Linked DNA regions of Oryctolagus cuniculus. The protein of the gene in region 1 binds, or shares a complex with, the protein of each later gene. Links are inferred from orthologs where the notes say so. Each region holds a gene or a part of one and is shown in the gene's direction. Other genes may lie near its edges.

Evidence for each region.
Region 2: CBLL1 (region 1) and ZC3H13 share a complex: the UniProt entries of both Homo sapiens proteins name them as parts of the WMM complex. The link is inferred for Oryctolagus cuniculus from reciprocal best matches to the Homo sapiens genes CBLL1 and ZC3H13.
Region 3: CBLL1 (region 1) and METTL14 share a complex: the UniProt entries of both Homo sapiens proteins name them as parts of the WMM complex. The link is inferred for Oryctolagus cuniculus from reciprocal best matches to the Homo sapiens genes CBLL1 and METTL14.
Region 4: CBLL1 (region 1) and WTAP share a complex: the UniProt entries of both Homo sapiens proteins name them as parts of the WMM complex. The link is inferred for Oryctolagus cuniculus from reciprocal best matches to the Homo sapiens genes CBLL1 and WTAP.

What each region holds. Positions count from the first base shown.
Region 1 is NC_091434.1:136,456,593-136,464,166, reverse strand, and holds part of CBLL1 (E3 ubiquitin-protein ligase Hakai), read left to right. Parts: intron 1-3,030; coding exon 3,031-3,131; intron 3,132-3,560; coding exon 3,561-3,644; intron 3,645-5,235; coding exon 5,236-5,309; intron 5,310-7,574. UniProt on the Homo sapiens protein: E3 ubiquitin-protein ligase that mediates ubiquitination of several tyrosine-phosphorylated Src substrates, including CDH1, CTTN and DOK1. Targets CDH1 for endocytosis and degradation.
Region 2 is NC_091440.1:65,036,201-65,043,774, reverse strand, and holds part of ZC3H13 (zinc finger CCCH domain-containing protein 13), read left to right. Parts: coding exon 1-1,086; intron 1,087-1,819; coding exon 1,820-2,335; intron 2,336-5,661; coding exon 5,662-5,814; intron 5,815-7,352; coding exon 7,353-7,553; intron 7,554-7,574. UniProt on the Homo sapiens protein: Associated component of the WMM complex, a complex that mediates N6-methyladenosine (m6A) methylation of RNAs, a modification that plays a role in the efficiency of mRNA splicing and RNA processing.
Region 3 is NC_091439.1:46,511,672-46,520,040, reverse strand, and holds the start of METTL14 (N6-adenosine-methyltransferase non-catalytic subunit), read left to right. Parts: upstream 1-3,445; 5' UTR 3,446-3,604; coding exon 3,605-3,670; intron 3,671-8,369. UniProt on the Homo sapiens protein: The METTL3-METTL14 heterodimer forms a N6-methyltransferase complex that methylates adenosine residues at the N(6) position of some mRNAs and regulates the circadian clock, differentiation of embryonic stem cells and cortical neurogenesis.
Region 4 is NC_091436.1:8,319,579-8,327,891, reverse strand, and holds the start of WTAP (pre-mRNA-splicing regulator WTAP), read left to right. Parts: upstream 1-3,271; 5' UTR 3,272-3,532; coding exon 3,533-3,680; intron 3,681-8,313. UniProt on the Homo sapiens protein: Associated component of the WMM complex, a complex that mediates N6-methyladenosine (m6A) methylation of RNAs, a modification that plays a role in the efficiency of mRNA splicing and RNA processing.

The sequences.
Region 1 (7,574 bases):
TAACTTTGCCTTTCAAATAGATAAATAATTTAAAAAAGACTATTTATACAGAAATATTAATTTTTGTGTAAAAATGCCTTTTTAAAAAAAACATTTATTTTGTATAACTGTCTTTAAAATGTTTTGTATATAACTGCTTCTTAAAACCGTATGCATTTGAGATTTTGTGTTAGCATATACAGAGATAACTTCATTTGCAGGAATAGGTTTAGGTACTTCATTATGGCTAAACTACAATTTATTTAAAAATTTTTCTGGAGTTCTAAGAACGTTGGAGCAAATATCTTTGTGTAGAATTTGCACTTTGTACAAATTTGGACATTTATTTATTTATTTGAAAGGCAGAGTGTGGGAGTGAGAGGTAAATGTATTCTATCTGCTTATTCACTCCCCAGAAGTGTGCAGTAGCTAGGGCTGGGTCAGGCCAGAAGCTGGGACCTCCATCTGGGGTCTCCCAAGTGGTAGCAGAGACCCAAGTACTTGGGGCATCATCTGCCATTTTCCCAGATGCATTAACAGGAAGATATATCAGAAGCAGAGGAGCCAGAGACACAAACCTGTGTGGGTGACACAAGCAGCAGTTTAACCCCCTCCTGCATCACAGTGGCCACACCATAGACTTTTAAAAACTTTGTAATTATTCTTCAAAAAAGGTATATTTGTTTATACTTCTCCACACCAGTTTTGGGTACTATTAACCTTTAAACATTTTGATTTTGATTTACAATTCTCTAATCATGGTTGAGGTTGAGTATCTTTTCATAATATTGGTCTTTTGCTTAGGATCTTTCTGTTCATATCCTTTCCCCATTTTTCTGTTTGGCTGTTTCTCTTGATTTTTGAGTTCTTTTTAAATTAATGAAATTGACCCTTTTTAATATATTGTGTATATTCCCCATTTGCCTTTTGAATTTTGTCTATAAATTTTTTATTGTAGAGAGGTTAAACATTCTATGCAGTCAGATATCCAGTGTTTGTTGTTATGACTTCCTGGATTTATGACAGTTTTAGAAAGGCCTTCCCCTATTCTGTGCATATAAACTGGTTTTCCTCTCATCTGTCAGTACAAACTATGACCTGTGGGGCAAATCTGGTCCTGTTTTTATAAAGTTTTATTGCAAAACAGCCATGCCCATTCATTTCAGTATTGTCTGTGGCTGCTCTCATACAGTAGTGGTAGAGCTGAGTGTTTGTGGTTATGGACCATGTGGCTCACAGAGCTGAGAGGATTTATTGCCTGGCTTTTTACAGAAGAATTTGCTGACCTCTGCTTTGGATCTTTTAAGAATACGTATGTGGTTATTTAAAAAAGCCAAAAGTGGGATCTGGCTTTCTGTTTTTTCCTCCAAAACAGCTTGTCATTGTCCCAATCATTGAATAATCTTTTCCTTGCTGCATAGAAAACCCACCATTATTGTATATTAAAGTTCTAAAAGTATTAAAGTCTGTTTTCTGGTCTTTCAAAGTATTTTCATGAACTTATAGTGATGTACAAGTACATTCTTGTAATGCAGGAAAAGCTAAAAATTCTCCCTGCTACCTCTTTTCTCTAAGTTGTTTTCCTCCTCTTCTCAGGGTCATGGCTTTTTTTTAGAGGGAACTACTCTTACTCCTTTCTCTCTTAATAGAGCAACTTGAGGCTGAAGACAATCATTGAATACTTTAGACTTAACCTGTTTGGAGTAAAAGAAAATTATTTTTTTCCCTAGGGATTGATCAAAATATGGAGTTTTGGGTGTTAGTACATCTCTATGGATATTTAGTTTAATGAGAAGAATACAGGTTGAACTACTCTGAAAAATTATAATGTGCTCTTCATTTATTTGGCTGTTGATCTCCATAATTTTCTGCATTTGAAGAATTGACAATTTTTCTTACTTTGAATTGTGGATGACACCACCTTTGATAAGGAATGGGCCATATAAGACTGTAGGTACACTCAGGTGTAATTTATAAGATCAACTTTACTTTGAACTGTACATCTATATTGGAAGTAGTTAAATAGCAGTATATTGGAATATCTCTTATCAACTTCAAAAAATTCTTGCATCACTATTGTCTGTGTGTGTGTGTCTATCTACCTGCACAGGTACTGTAAGTTAGCCATGTGGGTAAAGTTGAAGCTGTGTGCTTTGGCTACTCTGTTTACCAGTTCTAGGGCCAAAAGAGTCGTGACAAGCCTGGCACCTTGGAGAGATATATTTGTCTTCTCAGCTTTACTTTAGGTAATTGGATTCTACCTAGAATTCTCATCAGACTGTTCACCGGTTTTCTGTTCTTTTGTGTAAAATGAGAAAATTGCCACCAACTTTTTAATGAGACCAGAGAAATTGAGCCAACTTGATCTTCAACTGGTCTTAAGTTTATTAATGTTGATATATGCAGTGTAGGACAGGATACTTGTAAATATCATATGGCTCCTGCTGATTGGGGATTAACCAGGAAGAAGTTTTAAAATGAAAGGGTGAAGAATGAATTTGTTGATGTTCCAAAATCATGCTCAGATTAGAGGTGAAGGGAAAGTATAATTTACTAAGTAATAAGAAAATCCGCAGAATTCTTTGTTTTCATTATTTTTACAATAAAATCAGTCTCTTGCAGCATACCATATTTGTAGATAGATTAGAATAAGTGATGGTCAATGTCATTAAAATTTTGTGCAACAAATGATGATAATGGTAATCTTGAGGTTTTAGACTAAAGATAGTCTGTTGAATTGATAGAAGCACTTGAATAGGTGTCAAGAGATCTGAGATCTGTTCCTGGTCCTGCTGCTGACCTTAATATGTTACATTATTGTGGATCTCCATACTGTAATAGTCTCAATTATGAAGTATTAGAGTTGGTCAGGTAATCACCAGTTTTACTTCTAGTTGATATTTTAAACTAGTCTTCATTATTTTGTTCTTAGAGGAGCTTTGAAAGTCATCAGGTGGGCTTTCCAGTGAATAGGCCTACTTTGTCCTGTGTGTATACTTCTCAAATGAAATTTGAGGTTTGAAGTTAATGAGTAACATTTTGTTTTCTCAGAAGGATTTGATTATAATGAAGAGGAACGGTATGACTGTAAAGGGGGTGAACTGTTTGGAAATCAGCGAAGGTTTCCTGGACACCTTTTTTGGGACTTTCAGGTACGATTAAAAACGAAAACTTTCATTAGACCAATAAAATTGGTATTAAGTACTTAAAATGTGGTATTAGAACAGTGTAGAATATATAAGGGGTATCTTTTACAAGCTTTTGTTAATGTTATGACTTTTAACACAAACATCATTTGTTTATAATGAGTGCCCTACTTTGACTATTCCCAAAAATAATTTGAAATCATTTTCAGTGAGGTCAAATGTGATTGATAACTCTTAACTATTTAAAAATGTAAACTAACGGTGGCACAGCTAATGCTGGTGAATATGTGGGGATTATACCAAGAAACCTTTATTTCTAGTTGTTTTTAACAACTTTTATAAAGTACCAACCATTTACTATTGATAGAGTGTTTAGCATTGTGTTATAGATGCAGTTTTTAGGATTAAGGGAATTTAATTATGTCATTTCAACAGATAAACATCTTAGGTGAAAAGGATGATACACCAGTTCACTTCTGTGACAAGTGTGGATTACCTATTAAAATCTATGGACGAATGGTAAGCATAATTAAATTAAATACTGTTTGTAAATGCGTGCATTTGTGTCCAGGTAGAATTCTGAAATGTATTAAGTAGATACAGTTAATCATTATCTAATGACTGAGTTTGTGACATTTTAATTTAAATAAATATGAACTAGCTAAGAGAAGTACTTGGTATGCGTGACACCAGTTTATATTTATTATACTTTTTTAAGGAAAGATTTTTTTTAAGATTTTATTTATTAATTTGAAAGAGAGGGAGAGACAGAAAAATCCTCATCTGCTGGTTCACTCCCCCAGTGACCAAAACAGCTGGAGCTGGAACAATCTGAAGCCAGGAGCCAGGAGCATCTTCTGGTTCTCCCACGTGGGTGCAGGGGCCCAAGCACTTCGGCCTTCTGCTGCTGCTTTCCCAGGCCATAGCAGAGAGCTGGATTGGAAGAGGAGCAGCCAGGACACAAACTGGTGCCCGTATGGGATGCTGGCACTGCAGGTGGAGGCTTAGCCTGTTGTGTCACAGCTCTGGCCTCCAATTTTTTTTTTTTAATTTTATTTATTTATTTGAGAGGTAGGGTTACAGACAGTGAGAGGGAGACAGAAAGGTCTTCCTTCCGTTGGTTCCCGCAATGGCTGGAGCTGTGCCAATCTGAAGCCAGGAGCCAGGTGCTTCTTCTGGGTTCCCCATGCGGGTGCAGGGGTCCAAGCACTTGGGCCATCCTCCACTGCCTTTCCAGGCCACAGCAGAGAGCTGGACTGGAAGAGGAGCAGCCAGAACTCCAACTGGCGCCCGTGTGGGATGTTGGCGCTGCACGTGGAGGATTAACCTACCGTGCTACGGCACTGGCCCCTGGCCTCTGATTTTTTTTAACAGACTAGAATAACATTAGTTATTCATTTCTGAAGTTCACTATTTTTTATATAAAATACATAAATAATATTTTTAATTTCTAAAAATTGAATTCTGATTATTAAAAAATATTTTTACACCCCTAACTGTAATTTTATAGTAACTTTATCATGTCCTCGCTCTAAAAAGATAGCTTTGCATTTGTGTTTGAAAAAAAGATTGGATTCTGTTGTACTCATATCTGTGATGATAGAGGGCACGGATTATGCACTATTGCTTTGCTCTGTATCATAGCAAAGTAACAATAATGGGCTGTTGGCTTTACAGTGTGGTTCTTGCATCATTTTACTGTGATCTGATTGTTAGATTTTTTTGAGTTCACTAATCTAAGCCAGGAAGAAATGCTAGTTAAATATAGGAGATACTAGTTATTTTTACCTCTTTAGAATAGTTTCAGGAGAAATAGGGTAAGGTTAAACATGATTATAATGTTGTTGTCAGGAGCTTTTAACGTATAGGATAGGGATCAATGGTGAAACTTACAGGGTAAGTTGCTCCCAAAGACAAGTGTACATTGTATTCATTTATTAGGAAGGAGGCCAAAGATTAATTTTTACTTTTGAATAAGTAGCACTTAATAAATGTTCTTTTTAAAAGCTCAGTGCCTTCTAGCTGTAGGTGATTATGCTTATTGATCTTTTGTGTGGAAATAAAATCTAAGTTGTTCTAGTATGCTTAATTATAATGTCTTTGTTTGCAGATTCCATGCAAGCATGTTTTTTGTTATGACTGTGCTATTTTACATGAAAAAAAGGGAGATAAGATGTGTCCAGGGTAAGAAGATAATTTTTATTATTTCTTTATAAAAACGTTTCTTTCTCCTTTCTGTCTTTCTGAGACAGAGCTCCCATCTACTAGTTCCCTTTCAGAATGCCTCCAGTGACTGAGGCTGAGGCCAAAGCTGATAGCTTGGAATTCAGTCCAGGTCTCCTGTGTAGATGACAGGGGCAGCTACTTCACCTGCTGCCTTCCAGGGTGTACACTAGCAGGAAGCTGTATCTGGGGGCAGAGTCAGGACTCAAACCCAGGCACTCCAGTACAGAATGTAGGCATTGCAAGCAGTTGTCTTAACTGGCATCTTACTTGCTAGACCAAACACCTACTCCCATCTTTTTTTTTTTTTTTTTTTAAAGAGAGCTTTTATTTAATAAATATAAATTAAATAGGTATAGATTTTGGAATATAGTGGTTCCTCCCCCTGTAGCTGCCTTCCCACCCCTAAACCGTTCCACCTCCTACTCCCTCTCCCATCCCATTCTTCATTAAGATTTATTTATTTACTTTAAAGATTTTATTTATTCATTTGAGAGGTAGAGTTACAGACAGTGAGAGGGAGAGACAGAGAAAGGTCTTCCTTCCGTTGGTTCACTCCCCAAATGGCCACAACGGCCGGAGCTGTGCCGATCCGAAGCCAGGAGCTTCTTTCGGGTCTCCTACGCGGGTGCAGGGTCCCAAGCATTTGGGTCATCTTCCACTGCTTTCCCAGGCTATAGCAGAGAGCTCGATTGGAAGAGGAGCAGCCAGGACTAGAACTGGTGCCCATAAGGGATGCTGGCGCCGCAGGTGGAGGACTAACGTACTGTGCCACAATGCTGGCCCCCATTAAGATTTATTTTTAATTATCTTTATATCCAGAAGACCAACTCTAAGTAAAAATTTCAACAGTTTGCACCCACACAGACACACAAAAGTATAAAGTACTGTTTGAAGACAAGTTTTACCATTCATTCTCATAGTACAGCTCATTAAGGACAGAGTTCCTACATGGGGAGCAAGTGCACAGTGACTCCTGTTGTTGATTTAACAATTGACACTCTTATTTATGATGTCAGCAATCACCTGAGGCTCTTGTCATGAACTGCCAAGGCTATGGAAGCCTTTTGAGTCCACAAACTCTGTCAGTATTTAGACAGGGCCATAAGCAAAATGGAAGTTCTCTCCTCCTTTCAGAGAAAAGTACTCCTTCTTTGATGGCCCCTTCTTTCCACTGGGATCTCACAGAGATCCTTCGTGTAGATCATTTTTTGCCACGGTGTCTTGGCTTTCTATGCCTGAAATGTTCTCATGGAGCTTTTCAGCCAGATCTGAATGCCTTAAGGGCTGATTCTGAGGAGAGAGTTATTTAGGGCATTTGTCATTCTATGAGTCCACTGTGTGACCTGATTCCAATATTGGATCATTCTCTTCTTTTTAATTCTATCTATTATTATTAGCAGACATTTGGTCTTATTTATGTGACCCCTTTGACAATCCTATCTATATGATTAGTTACAGAATATCATTTTAATATGTAAGATGGCATTAGTACCTGCCAACTTAGTGGCTGCCCCCATCTTTTTAAAAACAGTTTAGTTTGTAATATAATCATTATGAGCTGGGTCGAAAATCAGAGTATGTTTTAAAACAGGCAGGCAATCAAATGTGTAGTCATGGCCAATCTTCCTCTATGAGCCCAGAGTTGTTATTAGCCTCCTTAAGATAGACCTGGGTGTAACTGTTGTCAATTCATATTGGTTAAAATGATGAAGCCTACTTGCCATTGTAGAATTACAAGTAGTATTATAAATCACATGCTGTTATTCTAAATTTTTTTGATGGGACATTAGAGATAGTATGGTATTGATTTATAACAAATACGCTTGGTTTTATAATCTGTCTTCTGCTGTCTATTAGCTATATGACATAGGCTGTTTCTTCTTTGTAAAATAGGGCTGATAATAGTATCTACCCCTCTGGTGTATTTTTAGGAGTATCTATCTAGGCATGTAGTAAGCAAATTTAAGTATAAGCTCTTAGTATATTCAAATCTGATTCTGTCTTGAGTATATGTTACAATACCCTCATGACATAGACTCAAGAAAGTAATGAGTTATAGCTATCTGGGGATGTCTTGAAGGAACCAAAATAAAGTAGGAGTTTTTATTTCAATTTAGAGCTCCCTGTTAATGACTTCAGAAATACAATGAAGCTTGCTTGGAATAGCCATAGTCCTCTTAGATTCCTTATAACCTGTGCTTAAAGTTACCCCAAGATTTGTAG
Region 2 (7,574 bases), on another chromosome or scaffold:
ATCGCAAGCCAGAGAGAAAAGAGAGTTCAAGGCGCTATGAAGAGCAAGAACTCAAAGAGAAAATTTCTTCTGTAGATAAACAGAGAGAACAGATAGAAGTCCTAGAAAGCTCAAGAACACGTTCACAGGACATTATAGGACATCACCAGTCTGAAGATCGAGATATATCTGATCGAGTTCATGATGAAAATAAGAAAAAAGCAAAAATTCAGAAGAAACCTATTAAGAAAAAGAAAGACGATGATGTTGGAATAGAGAGAGGTAACCTAGAGACAGCATCTGAAGATGGTCAAGTATTTTCACCAAAAAAAGGACAGAAGAAGAAAAGTATTGAAAAGAAGCGTAAAAGATCCAAAGGTGATTCTGATATTTCTGATGAAGAAGCCGCCCAGCAAAGTAAGAAGAAAAGAGGCCCACGGACTCCCCCCATAACAGTTAAAGAGGAGTTGGTTGAACTTTCCACTGATAAGGATGGCATTCTAGAGGATCTTCAGAAAAAAGAAGATACAGCTTTCAGTGATTGGTCTGATGAGGATGTGCCTGATCGTACCGAGGTGACAGAAACAGAGCACACGGCTACCACTGTCACTCCTGGTGGTACCCCCTCTCCTCTGTCCTCTCTTCTTCCTCCTCCACCTCCTATGGCTACTGCCGCTGCGATGGCTACTCCTGCTCTTGCCCCCACTGCTACTGCCAACTCCTCCACCACGATTTCCACCTCTGCCAATACCACCAGTACTTTTGCCAATGAGGATTCACATAGAAAATGCCACAGAACACGAGTGGAAAAAGTTGAGGTGTGTCATGTTACTATAGAGGACACCCCACATCGCAAGCCAGTGGATCAGAAGAGGAGTAGCAGCCTTGGGAGCAATCGAAGTAATCGCAGTCATACATCTGGTCGTCTGCGCTCACCATCCAATGACTCTGCCCATCGAAGTGGGGATGACCAAAGTGGTCGAAAGAGAGTACTGCATAGTGGCTCAAGGGACAGAGAAAAAACAAAAAGCCTGGAAATCACAGGAGAGAGAAAATCGAGGATTGATCAGTTAAAGCGTGGAGAGCCCAGTCGAAGTACTTCTTCAGGTAAGAAAACTGAATTATGATCTAGTCAGTATTTCCTATGATAGTCATGTTTTATACAAGTTATAATTTCAAGGTAATGATAAATTGATTATTTTATTTGCTGCCTTGAATTTTACAGAATTAAAAGATTTAGCTGTCCATTAAAATGTTAGTTGGTACCACTTTAATTCCTATATTAAAATAGAAGTATATTCAATGCTATTAATCATTTTAATATCAAGATTTTAGTAGTATATGTTAGTATATGTGTAGTAGTATATGTTAGAGCTTATATATTCAATTCCCTAATCACTGCCCACAATTTTATCCTTCCTGCTATGCCTCCTTTAGCTAATGCTACCTCTTTTGACCATAGAAAATAAAATAAGAGATTAGAGAAATCAAGTAATGAAAATTATCAGTTCTGTTACTGCCTTACCATTTAATGTACTCATTTCTTTGAATATAGCTTGTAACTGTAATGGAAATAGACAAGGAAACATGATATTTTTTAACATATTACTTAGTGCTTTATTTGAGAAAGTTTTTTTTCCTTAAAATTTGACTTCCATATATATATAAATAATATGTAAAATAGAGAAGTACATAGAATATATAGAAAGAATAAAGAATATAGAAAAATGCATAGAATAGACAAGAAAATCAATTATAAGTTTTAAAGAACCCCAAATTAAGTGTTTTGTTCCTGTTTTATCATGTGTTAACTCTTTGTATATGGTATGTTTATTTTTAGATCGCCAAGATTCAAGAAGCCATAGCTCAAGAAGGAGTTCTCCTGAGTCAGATCGACAGGTCCACTCAAGGTCCGGGTCATTTGACAGCAGAGATAGGCTTCAAGATCGAGATCGATATGAGCATGATAGAGAGCGAGAGAGAGAGAGGAGGGACACAAGGCAGAGAGAATGGGACCGGGATGCCGAGAAAGATTGGCCACGGAACAGGGAAAGAGATAGATTGCGGGAACGAGAACGAGAAAGAGACAAAAGGAGAGACTTGGACAGGGAAAGAGAGAGACTAGTTCCTGATTCCATTGAAAGGGATAGGGACAGAGACAGAACTTTTGAGAGTTCTTCTCAAATAGAATCTGTAAAACGCAGTGAAGCAAAACTGGACAATGAACATGAAAGAGATCCAGACGGTAGTTCACGGGACCCTGTAGCTTTGGATAAAGAAAGAATGGATAAAGACCTGGGATCTGTGCAGGGGTTCGAAGATACCAGTAAAGCTGAGAGAACTGAGACTGTCGAAGGTGAGTGCCACACCTTTTTGTGTGTTATGCTGTTCCATTCCTTTTCAAATTTCATGTGAAACAAGTATTTTCTTTTGCTAGGTCATCACTAGTAGATACATTGACTCCATTCTTTTATAGGGGAAGTAAATTTCATGAGAAAAAGGCCTGTAAACATATTTAAAAAAAAAGTGCTTCCTTGAATAATACTATCACAGCAGATTTGCTTCAAATAGCCTAAATAGATTGTTTAGATGCAGTATCTATAGCTGTGAAAGAATAAGCATCACTTACAAAAATTGAACTCACTTATTATTAATGACACCTGTTCAAGCTAGTTGAAGAAAAATATCTGAAAAATAATACTATCTGAAACTGTATTTAATATCAGTTAATTCTAGACCTGTACAGGTTCTCCCTACTCCTAGAGTCAGAACACTGAGACTTCCCAACAACGCTTTGACCCACTCAGAGCCAGCCTTGCTTGTGGAAGCTCTCTTGCCTCTGCTCTCCACCCTTCAACTCCAATCTGGTAGACAAACTGGTACCTGTAATAGCTAAGGGACACTGACTCCAATTAAGAAAGTGCTATTTTACAATGACTAGTTCAGTTATATTCGGGTATACCCCAGGATTGTACTTCTGCTAGAACTAGGGCTCTTGATTTGATTCTATTTATACTCAAAATAGAGATGAAAATGTAATATAAAGTTAGTTGAGGTACAAGTAACAAGATGGCATATTTATTTGATAGGCAGTGTTACAGAGAGACAGGAGCTTCTTCCAAGGTCTCCCACGTGGGTCCAGGGCTCCAAGCACTTGAGCCATCCTATGCTGTGTCCTCATGCACATTAGCAGGAAGCCGAATCAGAAGTGGAGCAGTGGGGACTTGAACTAGGATGCCAATGCCATGAGTGGCAGCTTAACCCACTATGTCATGATGCTTGTCCCAATAAAATAAATCTTTTAGAAAAAGGATTTTACTTTTGGCTCTAGTGCTATCAATATGGCAAATTAAAAAATGATACAATATTACTGCTTATATCCTAAGTATCCCATATTTCATCCCCAATCCATTAAACACAATGATTTACACCTTTTTATTCTCTAGCTCTTCTTTGTACCTGCTCTTCATTGCTTGCAAGATCTTTTCTTTTTTGTTTTTTCTTTTTTACTTAAACTTCTGAGTCCCAGCTTATGCATTATTTTCTCTTTAAAGACTTTTCTGCTAAAGGCACTTGCTTTCAAATTCTCATAGAACCGTGTTTGTATATCTTATCATATCCCCACATTGTATTATTTTCCTGTGAGTTTTTCTCCCCCATACTATGTGCCTTTGTTATGACTGTTGCCTTTTTCATCATTTATTTTCATGACTACATCATAAGGACACAAAAAATGGCTTTTGAGTGAAGATATATTCTGTTTATACATGATGCCCCTCACATCTTAACTCCTTTGTAAATTATGGCCTAAATTAACAAAAACAATAGCTTCCCTGAGAATTCTCCTGGAAATTTTGCTTCTTTGGGACTGTCTAGTCTGGTGTCTAGTACTGACACTGTTTTCCTGACCTAGTTATCTACAATAAGTGTCTGACATGATTATTATTTTTATTTGCAGTGGGCCCATTGATAAAAATCCAATGGTTTTTATACACAGATCCTAACATGTTTTGGTTATGGGATTACATATCTCCATATGCCATCTTGTTACATACTTTTTCTATTTGACTTGACAAAAATTATTGTACTTTGACTTTCTTCACTTTATAATTTCATCTCAATTTTGAGGAAAAATAGCATCAGATCTTGAGCCCTGGTTCTGATGGAAGTACAACCTTGGGCTATAATTGAGTACAATTGAACCAGTCATTGTAGTAGTTCTTTTGTGATTGGAGGCAATGTCCTTTGGCCCTAACATATATCATTTGCTAGTTGTTATTACAGATAATATACCATAGAAATTTATAGTTGAATCATCTGCTGTGTAATGTGAAGATCTTTATTTACTTGAAGTAGGAAAATGAGTGGATATAGTTGAAAATTTAAAATTCCCATATTGTGCATTCATATTTAAATGTATCCTTATATGGCAGTGTTATTAAAATTGATCATCTTAGAGGTGAAATGGTGGGAATATAGGGAAGTTAATGTAGAATTTAGTAGAACAGAAGAGTATTAGAATGATTAGAATTATGTCATTGTTTCATATATTTTATTTGCCCCAAATTCCTGTTGATAAAGCATCTGTTGCAACTTGAAAACTAGTGTTGTAGACTTGGTAAGGTATATGAAAAACTAGTGATTAGAAATACTAAATTTATCTGGTTTTATGATTAAGTTCATGACAAACTCATCTCAGGAGACGAGAAAAACTAATCAAATAATTAGAATTATGCCAAGGGGTGGTATCAGGAATATTTTTGAAATATAATAAATCATTGTTCTGGAAGTTGTATTCATACACTAAAGGAAAACATTGGGAAAAAGCAGAGAAATTCAGGAGGTAGAGAGAATTAATGGCACATTTGTGTTTTTACCTTGCTCCAATAAAATTCTTCATATGACAAGCTAAATCATATGAACTGAGATTTAACTTTCAAAATTTTAGAATAACTTTGTAGACTTTAAAAAAGTTACTCTTATGTTAGGTATAAAACTTATTATAACCTTTTGAAGTTGGGTTTATCTGACTTAAAAGTTTTATTATCCAAACTGAACATAATATACATAGTCAGCTAGTTAGCACTCATGTTAATAGTAGATTTTATTTTTTCTATTTTAATTATAATCTTAAGATCTGTTCTGATATTACTGTTAACATATTTTTGCTATTAAAATTAAATTATTAATTTTTTTTTTGACAGGCAGAGTTAGACAGTGAGAGAGAGAGAGACAGAGAGAAAGGTCTTCCTTCCATTGGTTCACCCCCCAAATCGCCGATCCAAAGCCAAGAGCCAGGTGCTTCCTCCTGGTCTCCCAAGCGGGTACAGGGCCCAAGCACTTGGGCCATCCTCCACTGCCTTCCCGGGCCACAGCAGAGAGCTGGACTGGAATAGGAGCAACCAGGACAGAATCCGGCGCTCCAACTGGGACTAGAACCCAGGGTGCCAGCACTACAGGCAGAGGATTAGCCAAGGGAGCCGCGGCACCGGCCAAATTATTAAATTTCTATTTTTCAGCTTTCTTTTGAAATTATCATCTGTTTGAACAATTAAGAAATAATAGTTTTCTGATGAAAAAATACCTTTCACATTGTTTTAGTGTGTACAGCTTTTACTTATTGACCTAGGCATCCTTTCTTTTTAATGTTCTCTTTGACGTGAAATTAATTTGTCTTTTCAGCTGGAGAAGATGAGTCCAAGTTAGACGATGCACATTCCTTAGGTTCTGGTGCTGGAGAAGGATACGAGCCAATCAGTGATGATGAACTGGATGAAATTCTGGCAGGGGATGCAGAAAAGAGGGAAGATCAACAAGATGAGGAGAAGATGCCAGGTAAGCGTTTGCAGATGTGGTTAGACGTAAAAATTACGTGACTTCTGGTGTTAAAGTATTCTTTCTTCCCTGTCATGCTGTAAAAATCTATTTAACACACTTAACATTTTCTGTTTTTTATTTTAGTTAAGGTTGAAAGGTCAGGAAAATGAAAATTATATACCTGTGCATTTTTTAAAAAAATATTTATTTATTTGAAAGAGAAGGAAATGCTCCATCTACTGGTTAACTCACCAAGTGGCTGCAATGACCGGGGCTGGGCCAGGTCTAAGCCAGGAGCTAAGAGCTTCATCCAAGTCTCCCACATGTGAACAGAGACTCAAGTACTTAGGCTAACTTCTGCTGCTTTCCCAGGCCATTGTAGGAAGCTGGATCGGAAGTGGAGTAGCTGGGACTCGAACTGGTGCTGCAGGTGGCTGTTTAACCTGCTACACCACAGTGCCAGACCCTTAGTAACTAATTCTTAAAGGAGTTTTTTTAAAAAAGATTTATTTATTTTACTTGCTACGTGGAGTTACAGGGTGGCAGAGAGAGAGATCTCCCATTCGCAGGTTCACTTCCCAAATGGCCGTGATGCTTGGAGCTGGGCCAGTCAGAAGCCAAGAGCCAGGAGCTTCTTCCAGGTCTCCCATGTGGGTGTAAGGGCCCAAGCACTTGGGCCATCTTCTGCTGCTTTCCCAGGCACATTAACAGAGAGCTGGATCAGAGTAGAGCAGCCAAGACTTGAACTGGTGCCCACGTGGGATGCTGGCAGTTCAGGCATCAGCTTAGCTCACTCCACTAAAGCGGCGATCCCTCTTAAAGGAATTTTATAATGAATTAGTTGTTTTTAAAAATTTATTTTTGTGTGTGTTATGTGCATTTGTGCACACATGTAAACTAAATAAGCTCCTTGTTTTAATTCCATGAAATAATTCTGATACCAAGTTTTAAAACATCAAACATCTAATCTTAGTGAAATTAGAGAGTTCCTTCACTGGGCATCCTATGTAAATTAGTCATTTGTAGGGATGGATTAGCTTGCCTGTTTTCTTTTGGTAGGATGACTTTGGGGTCCTTAGTCTATAAGTATTAGTGTTTATGGAAAAGCTTTGATTTTAAGCATATGACATTTTGTAAGGGCTGGCGCCATGGCTCAATAGGCTAATCTTCCGCCTGTGGCACCAGCACCCCGGGTTCTAGTCCCGGTCTGGGTGCCGGATTCTGTCCTGGTTGCCCCTCTTCCAGGCCAGCTCTCTGCTGTGGCCCAGGAGTGCAGTGGAGGATGGCCCAGGTCCTTGGGCCCTGCACCCGCGTGGGAGACCAGGAGAAGCACCTGGCCGCAGCGGCCATTGGAGGGTGAACCAATGGCAAAAGGAAGACCTTTCTCTCTGTCTCTCTCTCTCTCACTGTCTAACTCTGCCTGTCCAAAAAAAAAAAAAGACCTTTTTTGTTTAATATTTTCTCTATTTTGCTTGATTTATATTTTTTTGTGGATAATAAAACTGCTGTTTCTTGATGTGAAAAATAATCCTATACTATACTTCAACTTCCTACAGATCCACTAGATGTAATTGATGTAGACTGGTCTGGTCTTATGCCAAAGCATCCAAAAGAACCACGAGAACCTGGGGCTGCACTCCTAAAATTCACACCTGGAGCTGTTATGCTGAGAGTTGGAATTTCTAAAAAGTTGGCGGGTTCTGAACTTTTTACCAAAGTCAAAGAAACATGCCAGAGACTTTTAGAAAAGCCCAAAGGTAATTCCATTTTACTTTTTG
Region 3 (8,369 bases), on another chromosome or scaffold:
TCCATCTTAACCTCCTTGCGGAACGGGGAGACCCGCCGGCCCCCTCCTTGCCCTTGGGGGCCTCTGTGCGGCGGTTCAGGGCTGGCAGTTTGCTCTTCTTCAGGCCGAACCAGCTGGAGATGCTGCTGGTGTTGTGATGCTTGACCTCAGGGCCCGGGGCCCGGTCTTGGCCCTGGAGCTGTAACACGTTCTCCTCGATACCTTTCATCACCTTCTCCTCAATGGCCGAGTGTGGGGCCGGCACCTCGGGCCCTGGCCGGGGTCAGCGGAGTCTGATGCCGGGGCTGTGCCACCGCCGCTGCCACCGCTTGCAGTCTGTCCAAGGCGGGCCCTTGCCCTTGTCAGGCTTTGGGCTCCTTGGCGGCCAGGGAGGCCCCAGGCCGGGGCACCACCTTGGTGGGGGTCTTGGAAGGCAGCTTCATAGGGCTGCTGTGAGGGCTCTTATTGGGAAATATTCAGAGAGCTGAATCTGAAGCATAGCAGGCAGGACTCCAGTCAGCACTCTGTTAGGGGATTCCAGCATCATAACAAGTTGCTTAGCCAGCTGTGCCCCAATCCTTGCCCTCACCAAGCCCTGTAACAAGGGCACCTAACCTCATTCAGGAAGGATTGAGGATAAACTTTGAACATTACTTTTTGTAGAGGACAAAAACATTCCAACCATAGCAGAGATTGTGGAGGTCATTCTCATAAAATGCAGTTGGACATATACGTTCAGAGGAGTCATTGTCAAGGAGCTAGGGAGAAATGTATCCATTGTAATGTGGATCTCTTTTTACCTTTCTAATATAAGTGCATGTAAGTTAAACTGCTTCTTCAAAGAAGAATCATGTGGGAACTTCCTCAATTTATTCTCTTTCCTCCTACTATGACACAGACTCTCTGGTGGCTCTGATGTTGCCATGATGAAAATATATTAGTGGTAGGCACATATACTACTCTACTGTGCTCTGGTGTTTTAAAATCTCACTGGTGGAGAGATAGGTTTTAGAATTATATTCCCATTTTTGTAAAAACTGCAAAAACTTTCTGAAGGATTCCAGTGGCTTTGTAAATACTGTAAGGTAGTACACATCTGCATCTTTAATCAGTCAGATTCCCATGTGGGAAAACAGAAATCATTCAAAGTATTTTAACCAGACACCAGTTACTACAGAGAAATGGTTACACAGATAATGGGGGTAGAAGAGCAAAAGGGGAAAGTGAAATTAAAATAGAAACTCCTAACTGCAAGTGGCTACCAGTCTTAAAGCTGGTATACATAAGAGAGAAGGTTGTATTGTCAGCTCAAAAGCAAGGCCACTACTACGATGCCACATTGGGGGTTTGAGGAAAGGAGCAACAGCTTTAACTGACTGTGGGCTTTGTACAGGACATAGCCATTCCCTTGGATGCCAGAGCAAAGTAAAAGTAAAGAAAAACAATACTTTCCATTGTTCCACCTTCTGATTTCCTCCCTGTTCCTCCTGTAGGCACAATCTTACTGGAAGTCATCTGTCAGGGAAAGGTGTGAAATGTATGTAGCTTGCAGACACCCAGCCCAACCATCATCTTGCAGCAGCTGTAGGTGAAGTACTGGAATGAAAGACCACAGTCAATTAACTGAAATAGTACCTTTCCAGGAAAAAAAAAATTTCCTTACACAATATACCTCCATAAAGAAAAGCTGAATTATTTAATCTTTGATTTCTGCTAGGATCTAAGCTCTAACATAGTGCTTGTCATATAAAATGTTCAATAGCAGTAAAGATTTGTGTAAACAAATGTCCATTACCATCATTGCTGAATAGTTTAAACCAGTTTACTACTCAAATAATTAGCAGGTAAGACGTCCAACTGATTTTTGGGTATTTATTTTTCTTTGAAACACAGATACACAGATGCCCACAAATTTCCAGATGTCCACAACAGACAGGGCTGGGTCGGGCTGAAGTCAGCTTCTCAGAACTCCATCCAGATCCCCTACCTGGCTGACAGGGACTCCACTACTTGAGTCATCATAGCTGCCTGCCAGGGTGCACATTAGGAGAAAGCTGAAATCAGAAGGGAAGCTGGGATTCCAAATCAAGCACACTGATGTATGATGCAGATGTCCCAGGTAGAGTCTTAACTGCTATGCCAGAGGCCAAAGTGCCACCAATCTGTAAAGAAACATACATTAACTCATATTTTCAAAAATGTGTTATGGCATATGCTCCCTGGAAATTAATTTTTTAAAAATATTGCTACCATTACTCAAGAAATTTTTTAGAACACCTCTTTTAAAATTTTCTTTCAAAACCAGATCAGGGGGCCAGTGCTACAGCACAGTAGGCTAATCCTCCACCTGCAGCACTGGCATCCCATATGGGTGCTGGTTCTAGTCCTGGCTACTTCTCTTCCAAGCCAGCTCCCTGTTACGACGTGGGAAAGCAGTAGAAGATGGCCTAAGTGTTTGGGCCCCTGCACCCGTGTGGGAGACCAGGAAGAAGCTCCTGGCTCCTGGTTTCAGATCGACCCTGCTCCAGCCATTGCAGTCGTTTGGGGAGTGAACCAGTGGATGGAAGACCTTTCTCTTTCTCTTTCCCTCAAACTGTAACTCTATCTCTCAAATAAACAAATAAAATCTTAAAAAAAAATGAGATCATGAGGTATATATAACACACATCATGCCAGATGCCATTTATTCTTTCAATTTTCACAACTCTGTGAGTAGGTACTCTTATTACTCCTATTTTACCAAAAACCAACCAACCAACAAACAAAAAACCCTATGGCTCAGGAGGTAGTTGACTAGCCAAGGTCACTCAGGTAGTGAGAGGCCAGGCTTCAATTCTGGGCAAGCTGAGTTTGTGCTTGCAGTTAAAAATGAGTCCTGGGGGGCAGGCATTGTGGTCCAGCAAGTTAAGGCATCGCTTCTGAAGCCAGCATCCCGAATGAGCACTAGCATGCCAGCTACTCCACTTCTGATTCAGCTCCCTGCTAACAGGCTTGGGAAAGCAGTGGAAGATGGATGAAGTGCTTGACGCCCTGTCACCCACGTGAGAGACCCTAATGGAGTTCCGGGCTCCTGCTTTGCAGCCATTTGGGAGTGAGCAGATGGGTGGAAAATATTTGTTTCTATAATTCTGCCTTTTAAACGATTAAATACATCTTAAGGAGAAAAAGGGTGGGGGGACATCTGTCAAGCTTTAAAACATCACGGGTGTCAACTAGGGAATTAATGGAAAAGCCAATCAATATTTCAGAACAGTATTTTAAACCATACTGATGACCTACCAAAGAGAGAGAAGTGAAAAACGATTGTCGATGGTCCCATGGCGGACCACCAAAGAGCATTTCTGGGCGGCGCTCAGAGGCCAAAAGGCTTGAGACCCCTCTAGCGCAGCAACGCCTCTCATTGGGTCCTTTCCAGGTGGCGTCAAGTTGCAGGCGTCCGATAGGAGGCGGGACTTCCGGATCTGGGCGCGCCAATTCCGGTCGCGCCGGAAATCCAAGCAGAGGAAAGCCTTGCTGGTGTGCAGTCGCAGGAGGTACTTCCTTGTAAAGTTTGCTCCAGTGATTCGCGAGATTGGACAGGGGTTCATTCAAGAGTGGCGAGTATTCGGGTGGTGAAAGACGGAACATGGATAGCCGCTTGCAGGAGATCCGAGAGCGGCAGAAGTTACGGCGACGGCTCCTTGCACAACAGGTCAGCAGCCAGGGGTGGCCCAGGTGGGGAGGGATCTCAAATGCGCCTGCGCGACCGCACTGTCGTTCTCCTGCCTTTCTCTGTCCTTGCTTCCTAATTCTGTCAGCGCCTTCCTGATCCCGCGACCCTGAGCCCTGGGCCTCTGGTCTTGTTCTCATTTCCCGTCGTGACCTGAACTTTCTTCCAGTTCCTGCCGCGGTCGTTGTGGTGCCACATTGAATGCTATGAGTAGGCCGGCGACGCGGCTCACTAGGCTAATCCTCCGCCTGCGGCGCCGGCACACCGGGTTCTAGTCCCGGTCGGGGCGCCGGATTCTGTCCCGGTCGCCCCTCTTCCAGGCCAGCTCTCTGCCACAGCCTCCGCGGGGAAGCAAGCCGGACAACAGAGCCGGCGGAATCGGGGGCGTCCTCGGACGCGAGTGGGTCAAGCCCCGGCGGCTCACCCGCACACACCCCCAGGGACGGGACGGGGCGCGGCAGAGGCGGCGGAGGAGGGGCCCGGAGGCTCCCGCCCCACAGACACACACCCCCAGCAGACGGAGCGGACCCCAAACGACGGCGGGCACGCGAGGGCGAGCCCGAGCCAGCGGGGGAAGGGACGGGCACCAGCGGGTCGTTCACGTCGTGACCGCACCTCGTCCAAGCGCGCCCCGACGGGGCAAGGCTCGAGGATGGCCCAAATGCTTGGGCCCTGCACCCGCGTGGGAGACCAGGAGGAAGCACCTGGCTCCTGGCTTTGGATCAGCGCGGTGAGCCGGTCGCGGCGGCCATTGGAGGGTGAACCAACGGCAAAGGAAGACCTTTCTCTCTCTCTCTCTCTCCCTGTCCACTCTGCCTGACAAGAAAAAGAAAAAAAGAAGAATGCTGTGATTACTCTTCAGCAGCCTCTAAGGAACGCATGCCAAGTGTCTGGCTAGGGCCTCCACGAGGAGGATACAAAGCTTTGGTATATAAGTAAATTACTGCAGTTCGTGGAAGGAGAAGCGACGTGTCCCCTAGATTTCCTTTCAGTATTCAGATGGTGTTCTGTGTCTTGTTATTTCTCGTAGTCAGCATCAATTCTTGAAATGTGGCTTCGTTGTTAACAGTGCTTTCTTTGGGATCAATCAATTTTAGAGCCTGCATCTTATCTTATGTATACACAATGTTCTGATCATTCACAGCGACCCCTTGAAATGAATGTTATTATTTATTTCTTCAAGAGTGAAATAGGGTTTAGAGGTTAAGTACTTTTAGCCCTGGTCACTCACGTCTCCACCAGGATACTGAACCTATGTTCCTCTCAGCAAAGCTTGTCTTGAGTATGAGTTAATTAACGTTTGCTGATTAGAGTACACATGTATAAAATACAGATTGCCCCCCATCTGCTTAAAGTCAGGGCTTTGTTTTCCATTCTTCCATTCAGATCAGTACATGTGATGAGGGAAATGATCATAGGCTTTAATGAGGCATCTTTGCCGTTAGTTTTCATAAATAATTTAGTACTAGTAAATGCATACCTGAAACCTGTCCTCTTTCATGATCTGATGAACAGATTTGTGGTATACTGTTGAAGTTGTGGGAATTCGGAATCAGATCTGTCCTTTGTCTCTCAGGCATTTCACTATTGGACAATCCAGGTATCCTTTTGAAGTCTTTTTACCAACTTCTTTTATCATGTTATTTTAAAAAACATTTGTTGCCACCGCATAAGGTGCTTCACTCACACATTCTAAACTTTAATCTTTGACTTAAAACACATTCATGTAATGATTTTTTAGCTTTACACTAAAAAAAAAATCAGAGACTCTAGTAGGTATTGACAAATGAATTATGAGTGAGTACACATAAACCTTAACAAGACTACAAGTATATTCCAGAAGGAAATCATTTAGTTACGAAGTAAATAACGAAAATCAGAACTTCAAATGTTATGGTCTTAAATATTAGACCAGATTTAGTAGCTCCACATCTAAGGTTTTTTCTACCTGCCCCTCTTCAGTGCAGGGATGGTTGGCTGCTCAACACACTCCTCCTCCCCCTTTTCCTTTCTTTAAACTGTGTACAGTGAAAATTGTCTTTACTGTATTTTTGTTCTCTGGTAATGTAATAAGCATGATGGTGCCTTCTATTAATACATCATTCCAGTCTGGCTGGTAGTTTTGTACAGTATAGTGTATGAATTGCTGTGCTGCAAAGCCAAACAGCTGCGAAATGTTGAAAAATCATTGAAGTATATAAAAATTGCAGTATCTTTAAAATCAGTAAAATGGACTAGCATATTATTTATCTTGTTTTTCAGTTAACAACTTTGCTCTCTGTGGGAGGGAGTCTTGTGTGTTTGGGAGGGAGGGAGGAGGAAGTCAATTATTTGAGTAAGTCTATAGTTGACGTTTCTCTTAGCTTCAATGTGACCGTTGAAATCACTTGAATGCTTAGAAAAGTCTGTCAGTTTGATGTACTTTTAGTGGCATTTTAAAAGTGGTTAGATTCCATAAATGGCAAGTACACCTGAAGTGAGGATACTGCAATTTTCGGGGGGAAAGAACAGCAGCTCTTAAGTGTTTGCATTTTCTATTTTGGGGGCAGGGAACTGTCATTCATTTTGCACAATTTCTTGAACTGATGTCAGCACCCGAATGGCTCCTGAATTTAAGTCTGGGATGACATCTTTTATTTTTACATGAATCTCTAAACAATTCTGTGAGCAAAGTTTGTAGCTGCTGGAGTATTGTCTGTCTGTATGGGAAGTTCCAGTAAACCACAGCTATGGCAAAGGTTATCCAATGTTATGCTTGGAGCAATCAGTACATATCATTTTCTGATGTTTCAGGCAAGAAGTGGGGTAAATAATTGTGACCACTTAAAGCTGCTTGTTAGCATGGAAGACTTCTCCATTCTATCTTAGTAAAAAAACAAACAGAAAAATGCACTTGACATAGTAACAAATTGCTTCTGAATTATGCAACTGCTTGCTATTTAGTAAACTAGCAAATGATGAACAGGTTTTGTTTTACATATACTGGGCAATATGAGTAAAATTCTGTCCTTTTTTTTCCCCTTTGAATGAGGTCGTCCATGTTGGAGGAAAAGACTTGCACTATTGCATTTATTTTAGGGACACAGATTTTCATAGTTTCCATTTTGGGGGAGCTTAAGATTTTTTTATTTGTTGATTTAACAGTTTTACATTTTCTGGTGTATAGTACTTGAAGTTCTTAACCAGAAAATTACGTTGAAGTTTTGACGCCTTTATTCAAACTTCTTTTAAATAAGTGGCCATTTTTTGTCAGTGTTGGGTCTCTCTCCCCCAACCATCCCTTCCTCCACCAACCATATTTTTCCTCTACTATTTTTTCCTCCTCATTTTACATATATGTATATATACATGCACACAGATGTGGGTGTATATATATGTATAGTGTGTGTGAGTGTGTGTATGTGTGTGTGTGTGTAATTTCCAGTCCAAAATATTGCCCTGTCCCCCGTGAAAACTGTTTTGGCACCAAAAGTGATGACCCTCAATGAGCTTACTAAGTGCATAAAATTTAATAATGACTGTCATTTATTAAATCCTTTCTTCAAACCTACAAATTAGATTATGGAAGCTTAGAGATGAGCAAGGTCACAGAGCTGGTAGTTTGCAAATTACAATTGTAATTTAGGCCTTTCCATGCTCGTTCTGGTATACTAGCTATCTCCCGGTCTTCCAGTTGGATGCAAACCAAGAAGAATGCCCCGTGAAACGGTAGTTTGAGTGATTCACTTGCCTTTCTCTGTGTGAACATGACAGACTTGTTTATTACTCTCTGGGATAGGATTTATGTAGTATACACCTTATGGTTTTTCAAAGTTGCCTTCCTTTCTGAATTTCATCTATCTTCATGGTGCAACCCAGAACTTAGTGATGAAATTTATCTTAATCTCTTAGGCTTATGTACTTCCTATAAGCTTAATTTTCCTTACCATTGATCCTTCCACTACTTTTATATAACTGTCATATATCATATAACGAGTTTGAGTGCAAAGTCTTTGCATTTGATTCCTGTTGGATTAATCTACCTTAGCATTGCTTCTTGCACAAAGTAGACTTTTAATAAACATTTGTTAATTGACAAGATACCAGAGTAGAGCACAACTCAAAGTGTGTGATTTGCCTAGTTTGCTTTTGTCTTTTGGGTGAGAAAGTTGGGTGCAGTAACTCCCAGACAATGATGTTGGCAGTTGAACTACTGCTTGACTAGCAATTTTTACCTCCATTTAAAAAAAAAAAGAAAAAGAAAAAGAAGAGGAAGAAATTTATCTGTCTATTAGAAAGGCAAAATAACAGAGAAAGGGAGACAGACGTCTTTTATCTCCCATAACAGTCAGGGCTGAGGCTTGTAGGCAGCCTTTGGACAAATCAAGGCCAGTCTTGGCTTGTGGAGTTCTTGGGATAAGAAAAAATGCAACACATGTTCATTACCAACCCCCTATCATTTGGAGGGTTCCAATGGATTCATTGGTTATTAAGTTGGCTGGACCACTATTGCTTTTCCTCCTTTGTATGGGATGTTTTCCGTGTGTTTTACAACTTATGTTAACTTTGCTACAGTCTATATGGACTGAGATCCATCATTTAAAACTTCATACTAAACTTCCTTTGTAATCAAAGTAAGTGATATTTGGCCTAATCTTATCCATTTTTAACTCTCTCCCAATGCCTAGCTGGAATGGTCCTC
Region 4 (8,313 bases), on another chromosome or scaffold:
GTAACTTACAAAAGGGCCAGGGCTGACAAGCTGATACCTTCCCTAGCTTTCATCCCATCTTCCAACTCTGGATCAACCCGAGTTAAACGGGCATTCCAAGGGCATCACATGGGACGCCCAGCGTCCAGTGAGCCACCTGCAGCCTCCCGTCAGGGCAAACCTGGAACCACCCCCTTTGCTGCACTGGAAACTCCCTTTCCCACTGGCCCACGGGCCTGCCAAACACAAGGGACAGCGCCCGACTCCCTTGCTACAGCAAGCTCTCAATACAGACTGTGTGTTTCATTCAGCTTGTCTGGGCTATTTCCTCCTTACTGAGGTATAATTTACATGCAATAAAAATGCATCCTTTGGGGCCAGTGCCCTGGGCTGTGGCTGGGCCAAGCCGAAGCCAGGAGCGAGCAGCTTTACCCAGATCTCTCCCAGAGGTGTAAGGACCCAAGCACTTGGGCTGTCTTCCGCTGCTTTCCCAGGCGCATTCACAGGGGGCTGGATGGAGGTGGAGCAGCTGGGACTTGGCGCCCATAAGGGATGCCAGTGTCACAGGTGGCGGCTTTACCCACTGCACCACAGTGCTGGCCCCTTGCTGTACTTTCATAAACGCGGATTAAGGGGTAACCACAATAGAATATTTGCTTCACCTTCTAGATTCCCTCATTTTTATAGCTGAGGCCCCTGCTCCTCCTCTCCTGGTCAACTGATGTGATGGCCACCTCCCGGGAAGTTTGTGTCTTGGTCACATGACCTCGCCCTAAAAATACCTGCCTCATCTTGCACTTCCCAGAACTACAACCAGCCAGTTCTCCAAGGAGCTCTGTAGCCTTTCAGTGGGCAATGGGATTCCGAGCTCACTGGGACCAACCTTCCTGGTTTGCTGGGGACTGCCCCAGTTTAACCTGACAGTCAGGGATCCCAGGAGGCCCTCTTGGTCTCTGGGGAGCAGGGACAACTGGTCACCATACTAGGTCTAGGTGCTTTCAGAGCCTGGAACTAGGAATCTTACTGTAAAGTCATGCATTCAGGGGCTGGTGTGTGGCACAGTGCGTTAAGCTGCTGCCTGCCGTGCCAGCATCCCATACTGCTGCATTTCCAATCCAGCTCCCTGTAACGCACCCGGAAAAGCAGCAAAAGATGGTCCAAGTGCTTGGGCCCCTGCCACCCACACGGGAGACCTGGAAGAAGCTTCTGGCTCCTGGTTTCCAGCCTGGCTCAGCCACAGCTGTTGCAGCCACTAGGGGAGTGAACCACTGCACGGAAGACGGATCTGTCTCTCTGAGCCCCCCATTCAAATACATCTTTTTAAAAAAATCACGTTCAAACTGGTATTTCCAATGTAAAATTTTTCCCACCCTCTCTGATCTTGTTTCTCATTTTCCATCACACAGAAAACCTTCATACATCATAGCATCAAGTTATTTGCGTTATCCTACAGTAGTTTCAAATGCCAGCCATCAACCCTAGTCCTTCGCAGCCCTGTTCCGCGGAGCGGAGGCCGGCTCTCTCCAGGGGCGTCACCAACTACGGCCTTGCGAAGCCCCAGGGAAATTCTTTCCTCTGTAAATCTTCCTCGTTGCCGACTGGATTTAAAGTTCACTTCTTTCAAATCGCTTTCGACCCGGGGCTTTGCTTCCCTTCTTGATTCATCCTGTAGCTCTGTCGGAGAAGTCCTGCTCCTACTATCTGCCACTTCCTCTGTATGCACCTGCTGCGACCTGGACTCCGCACGAAGCCGCAGCTCGCTCCTCCCTGGGCTGCGGCGGCCCTGACGGAGCCTGCACCGGGACACGGCGGGACCCTTGTGCACCCGCTGCCTCGGGACAGGCAGAAGCAGAAATGCACCGGTTACTCGGCGCTCGGGTCGTTTATCCTAACTTCACGAGTGCGCTCACCGGGAGCGCAGCCGAGCCGCCTCTCCCGAGACCCGGCCCCGGCTTTCCTCCCCGACCCCGGCGCTCCGAGGCCAGGCCGGACATTCTGCAGGGCGAGCTACCGGGCTCCCCGCACCGCCTCGCCCGGGCCGGCTGCCCTGGGGGCCACGCTGGGGTCCAGCAGGCCCAAGGCAGGTCCCCCCGGGGCGCCCCCGGCCCCGCGTCGCGTCTTCCCAGCGGTCCGCAAGGCAGTCTCGCCCACCCGAGTACACTCCACTGACGGAATTCACGCCACCGGGCTCGCCCCATCGTCCACGGCCCGCCCTCCCCTGGCCCCGGGGCCGCCCTCCGCTCGAGAACAATGGCTGCTCGCTTTCGCCGCCGGAGACGCCACGGCAGAACGACCCGCGCGGACACGAGGCCGCCCGTCACGCGCGAGGCGGCACACGGAGGCGGCCGGCCCCGCCCCGCCGGCGCGCGGAAGCACCGCGTCCAATCGCACGCCGCCCTCGCGCAGATCCCTCCGCCCGGCGGCGCCGTCGCCGCAGGCGGCCCACGCGAGCGCGTCCACCGGGGCCGCCTTCCCGGCATGCCCCGCGGCTGACCTCCGACCCCGGCGACCCGCCCCCTCGCCCGACGTCGCCCCTCCACACACACACACACGGCCGGAGCTGGCGGAGCCCCGGCGGCGGCGCTGGTTCCGGGTTGCAGACTCCGCCGCCAGGTCCCGCTCGGGCTAGGCCGGCGGCCGCGCGCTCCTCGCCTCTTCGCCTGTGGCGGGGCCGGGCGGCCGGCGGCGCCTCCACGGTGAGCGGGCCCGACGCGAACATGGCGGAGCGGGGAGGCGGGGCGGAGCGGGGCCGGGCGGCGGGCGGGGCCTGGCGTCCTCCCTCAGCGCCATTTTGTGGCAGCGAGACCCGCAAATAAAGGGGCGCGCGGGGCTGTGACGGGAGGAGGCGCGCGGCGGCGGGGCCTCGGCCTGTGCGACTGGCGGCGGCCGCGCGGCCCCGGCCCGGAGAGGTAGGTGCGGGCGGGCGGCGGGAGAGCGGCCGCGGGGCCCCTGTGGGAGCTGCGGGGCGACGCGGGCCCGGGCCGCGCCGGCCGCCCGTTACCCGCTTCCTCTTCCGCCGCCCCGAGGCCATGTTGCCTCGGCCCGCGGGGCCCGGAGGTCCGGCTGGGGCGGCCCTGCTGGTCTGGGCCCGGCCCGGCGGGGGAGAAGGCGGCGGCGGCGGGGCCCGGTGCGCGGCGCGGGCTCCGTGGGCTTCCATGTCGGGACGAGGGCGCGCGCCCGTCGCCGGGGGTCCTCCACGCCGCTCGCGGACCCCGCGCGCGGCCCAGGCTCCTGCGGGAGGAAGTGGATCCCCAGGGCACTGGGGGAAGTCCTGGCGCGCCGAGGCTGTGACGGGAAAAATAAAAAAACACGGGTCCCTTCCCGGTGGAAAAGCGATCCCGCGTGGGCACGTTCCGGTCGCCTTTCTCGTGTGGCTATTCTGTTCCCTCGGAAGTCACCGCCAATTACGTTCGTTTTTTTGTGTGAAAATTTCGGCCGTGAAATTTTCGGTGCTAGGTGAACGTGGTGTAGACGTATGAAACTCCGCTTACACGGTGTGGGAAAATCTTCTCGCGACGGCTGGATTTTAACTTCATTCATTCCATAGCATCTGATGGGGCAAGTTGGAGGGAGATTGCAGCCCCGCAGGCGGCTGGCGATAAGGGTGCAGTGCTGTCAGGGCTTCCGGTGTCTTGGGCAGACAGCTAAGCCGGCGGCAGAACTGGTGAACTGTCCAAAGAGCCAGATCCCGCAGGATGGAGGTAACAATGGGAGTGGGATCCGGGCACCGCTGGGGTGTCCACAGCTTCCCAGATTCGTGGGTCTTCATTACAGCGAGTTTTCCCAATTCCGCTCTGAGCCATGTTCAAGATGTTTTCGCATATTTGTCACAAATTATCTGGTAGGTACGATATGGAAGATGGGTAGGAGCCCTTTGATAGGCCAGGAGTTGTAACGGTCGCATTTACGACGATTGTTAAAGCTGCTGGGTCTCGTGGGTGTGTGTAGTACAGAGTCTCCTTGGAAATACTGTCTTAGTTTTCGTCTTTACAATGTGCCTACATTGTTTGTGTCTTGTTTGTCAGAGCTATATGTTGATGGATCCTTTAGCAGAGTGGCTTAACTATTTTGGTTCCATTCTTGTTTTTACTTGTTAAATCTTCTCCCACTTTTCTACCTCCAAATATTTTTTATTTGATATAGTTACTAGCTTATTAAGGACAAACTTTTCAATATTCCCGTAATAGGATACTCCATTGGATAGAATAGGCTGTAAAGGTGTTCAGTGCTATGAAGAAGTGTTCACCTGGAAGATGTTGGTGGAGTTTAATTTTTACGAAATGCATGTTAAAGTTGTCCTTTATGTTCATATTTTAAAATCCTTGTTTCTACAGCACTTCATTAAGCTTGCAAAATTGGTACCCCCCTTTTGCTAATTTGGAAACGGTAGCACAGAATTAAGTAACTTGCTGAAGATCACACTTAAGACCAATGCAAGTGTGAGAAATAGGCGGTTCTCGAATTTCTAAGCAGTACTCTTTCTACTCTAGTGTAAAGGTTACTGTGGTATCAGGTGATGGAGTCTTAAATGCAGTTGTGATTTGTTTCTCTAGAGCACACGCCTTCAGAGAAGCACTGAGTTGCCTAATAAAGCATCATGGTGCTACTGGAATGTAGGGTGCTAGGCACCTCCTAAGCCGCTTCTCCTGTGATAAAAGGCATCGAGTAGATGTTGATTCTGATATTTTAACGTTATCTCGGGATGATCTACAAGAATAATTGAAACCTTTACATAATTTAAAAATCAATCATCATCATTTTTTTTTTAAGATTTATTTTATTTACTTGAAAGAGTTACAGAGAGAGGTCTTCCATCCACTGGTTAACTCCCCAGATGGCCGCAATGGCCAGAGCTGCACCGATCAGGAGCCAGGAGCTTCTTCTGGGTTTCCCACGCAGCTGCAGGGACCCAAGGACTTGGGCCATCCTCTGGTGCTATCCCAGGCCATAGCAGAGAGCTGGATCAGAAGAGGAGCAGCCGGGACTAGAACTGGTGCCCACGCCAGCCCCAAAAATCAATCTTAAACTTTGCTTAAAAATAGCCAATATAGCTGCTTTTGAATTTTTTCTCTTTTGCTTTATTAAAAAAAAAAAAAAAAAAAAAACAGATTTTTCCGTCCTCTGGTTCACTCCTCCAAATGCCCACAACAGCCATGGTTGAAGATTTATTTTATTTATTTTTTATTTATTTGAAAGACAGTGTTAGAGAGGTAGAGACAGAGAGGTCTTCCATCCTCTGCTTCACTCCCCATATGGCTGCAACGGCCGGAGCTGTGCCAATCCGAAGCCAGGAGCTTCCTCCCAGTCTCCCACGCAGGTGCAGGGGCCCAAAGACTTGGGCCTTCCTCCACTGCCATCTCAGGCCACAGCAGAGAGCTGGATCAGAAGAGCAGCCGGGACTAGAACCAGCGCCCATATGGGTTGTCAACGCTTCAGGCCAGCGCTTTAACCCACTGCACCACAGTGCCGGCCCCAGTTACCAACTTTTGAGAGACACTGGATTTAGGACCCAAACCTCTAGTTCATTAATAGCTGTTTTACGCTGAGCTGATCACCTAATGAGTCACATTTTCATCTTGGAAAATGGAGACTAGTTTTGACTTTGAAAAGTTGTGATTATTGAATAAATGTGACTCATAGACAGTGAACGTGTATGTGTGGTGTCTGTGTGTATATGCTTTCATTTTTCACCTTCAAGGTTCAGGACTCTGATGATTCCAGATGATGTTATGGGGTGACGTGGCACAGCAGGCTAAGTGATGCTGGCATCCCACTTCCAATTGCTGGTCTAAGTCTCCACTACTCTACTTCCAATCCAGCTTCTTGCTAATGTGCTTGGCAAGGCAGGGGAAGATGGCCCAAGTGCTTGGGCCTCTGCCACCCCTGTGGAAGACCCAAATGGCGTTCCTGGCTCCTGGCATTGACATGGCTCAGCCCCAGCCTTGGCAACCATCTGAGACATGAACCGTTGGATGGAAGATCTCTTTTTCTCTATGTCACACTGCTTTTCAAATGAACAAATCTTTTTTTAAAATGGTGTTTTAGTACTTCTAGTTTTCCTGTGGAAGATTATTCTAAGAATCTTTTTGTGAACCTAGAATCAACTGTAGATGGTGACTGAGCTTGTCAGGTTGTAAAAAATTACCTTGGGGATTAATAGATTTCTTGGTGTGTTTATGCAATGTGAAGGTAAAAATTGAGAACTGAGTTCTGTTCTGAGTAGTTGAATGTTGTATGTTAATTTGTTTTCAACCTCCTAAGCCGTGGTTAAGCCTCTGACTGCAGCACCAGCATCCCAAATGGGCTCCAGTTGTCCCCGCTGCTCCTCTTCAGATTCAGCTCTCTGCTTATAGCCTGGGAAAGCAGTGGAAGATGGCGCAAGTTTTTAGGACTGGCGCTGTGGTGCAGTAGGTTAATCCTCTGCTTGCAGTACCAGCATCCCATAAAGGCTACTCCTCTTCCGATCCAGCTCTTTGTTATGGTCTGGGGGAGCAGTGGCGGATGGTCCAGGCGCTTGGGCCCCTGCACCCTCTTGAGAGACCTGGAAGAAGCTCCTGGCTTCAGATTGGCCCAGCTCTGGCCAGCCGTTGTGGCCATTTAGGGAGTGAACCAGCAGATGGAAGACCTTTCTCTCTGTCTGTCCCTCTCACTATCTGTAACTCTACCTCTCAAAAAAATAAAATCTTACAAGAGTTTTGAACCAGTTCTACTTTGCCTTTGACTGTGAATTTATGTGGCATATCATGAGTGCTTAAGGAAAGATGGACTTTGCATCAGTTACAGATTTTCTGAGGCTCTCGTTTCCTAAGCTGAATACCCCATACATGGAATGAACTGCAGCTCTTTCGAGAGCTGACCTGTGAAAATGCATGCGAATAAAACCTGTATTTACCCCTGACTTAGATTACAACTTCAGAAATTTATTTTGGGGGATTGTGTTTAGCCTAATGACTGAGTCACCCACAATGCATCTTAGAGTGCCTGGGTCTGTTCCCAGCCCTGGTTCTTACTTCCATCCAGTGTCCTGTCATTGCAGACCCTGGAGGCAGCAGGGATGGCTCAGGTAGTTGGGTTCCTGCTGCCTACGTGGGAGAGACCTGGATTGAGTTCCCAGCTCCCAGCTCCAGCCTGTCCTGGCCACTGAGGGCATTGGGGATGGAAGCTTTTGTCTCTCAAATTAAGGAAGAAAGAAAAGTTGATGTCCTCCAAACTCCATTTTAATTCATACTACCCAACATCAAACTTTTGAAAAGGAAAATATAAATCAGTGTTAGAAAACTTAATTATCTTTCAGAATTCTAAAAATTGGAGCACACCAAGGATTCTGTGGTTAGAAACTAAGACAGGAGGACATCATGGTAGTTGTCCTCAGTCTGTGAATTCTCTTAGGGTTATTAAAGAAACTCATTTCTGCGGCCAGTATTGTGTTGCAGGTTAAGCTGCTGCCTGCAATGCTGGCATCTCATATGTGTGCCAGTTGAAGCCCTTGCTGCTCCACTTCCTATCCAGCTCCCTGCTAATGCACCTGGGAAAGCAGTGGAAGATGACTCAAATACTTGGCCCTCTGCCAGCCACATAGAAGACCTGCCTGGAGTTTCAGACTCTTGGCTTCAGCTTGGCCCACTGGCCATTTGGGTAGTGAACCAGCAGTTGGAAGATCTCTCCATCTCTCTCCAACTATGCATTTCAAATAAATAAACTAATTTTTTTCTTTAGGTTAAGAATTTGTTTATTTGAAAGGTAGAGTTACAGAAGCCAGGGCCGAAGCACTTGGGCCACCTGCTGTTGCTTTCCCAGGCCATACCAGAGGGCTGGGTCGGAAGAGGAGCAACAAACCGGTGCCCGTGTGGGATGCTGGAGCCACAGGTGGAGGCTTTAGCCTACTGGGCCACAGCACTAGACCCAACTAAATCCTTTCTTAAACTCTTGATTTATTTCTTCTCTTTCTTTCCTTTTCCTCCATCCCTCCCTCTCCCCTCTCCCTCTCTCCCTCTCTCCCTGTTTCTCATGGAGAAAGAAATTAAATGCCCATTTTTTGCCGGTCACCATACTGAAGTGTGTCTTCAAAATAGAGTAATTTTGGACCATAATGGTGATAGTCTTTTTTGAGACGGTGAAACTGAAGTTCAGAGTTTTCTCCTTTTTACTTTTTTTTTTTCAGTGTGATAGCATTCTAATGATCACTTTTTTTTTTTTTAAGATTTATTTATTTGAAAATCAGAGTTACACAGAGGAGAGGCAGAGAGAGTGCGTGCACACTTCCATCCACTGGTTGACTACCCAATTGGCCACAACAGCCAGTGCTGTGCTGATCCAAAGCCAGGAGCTGGGAGC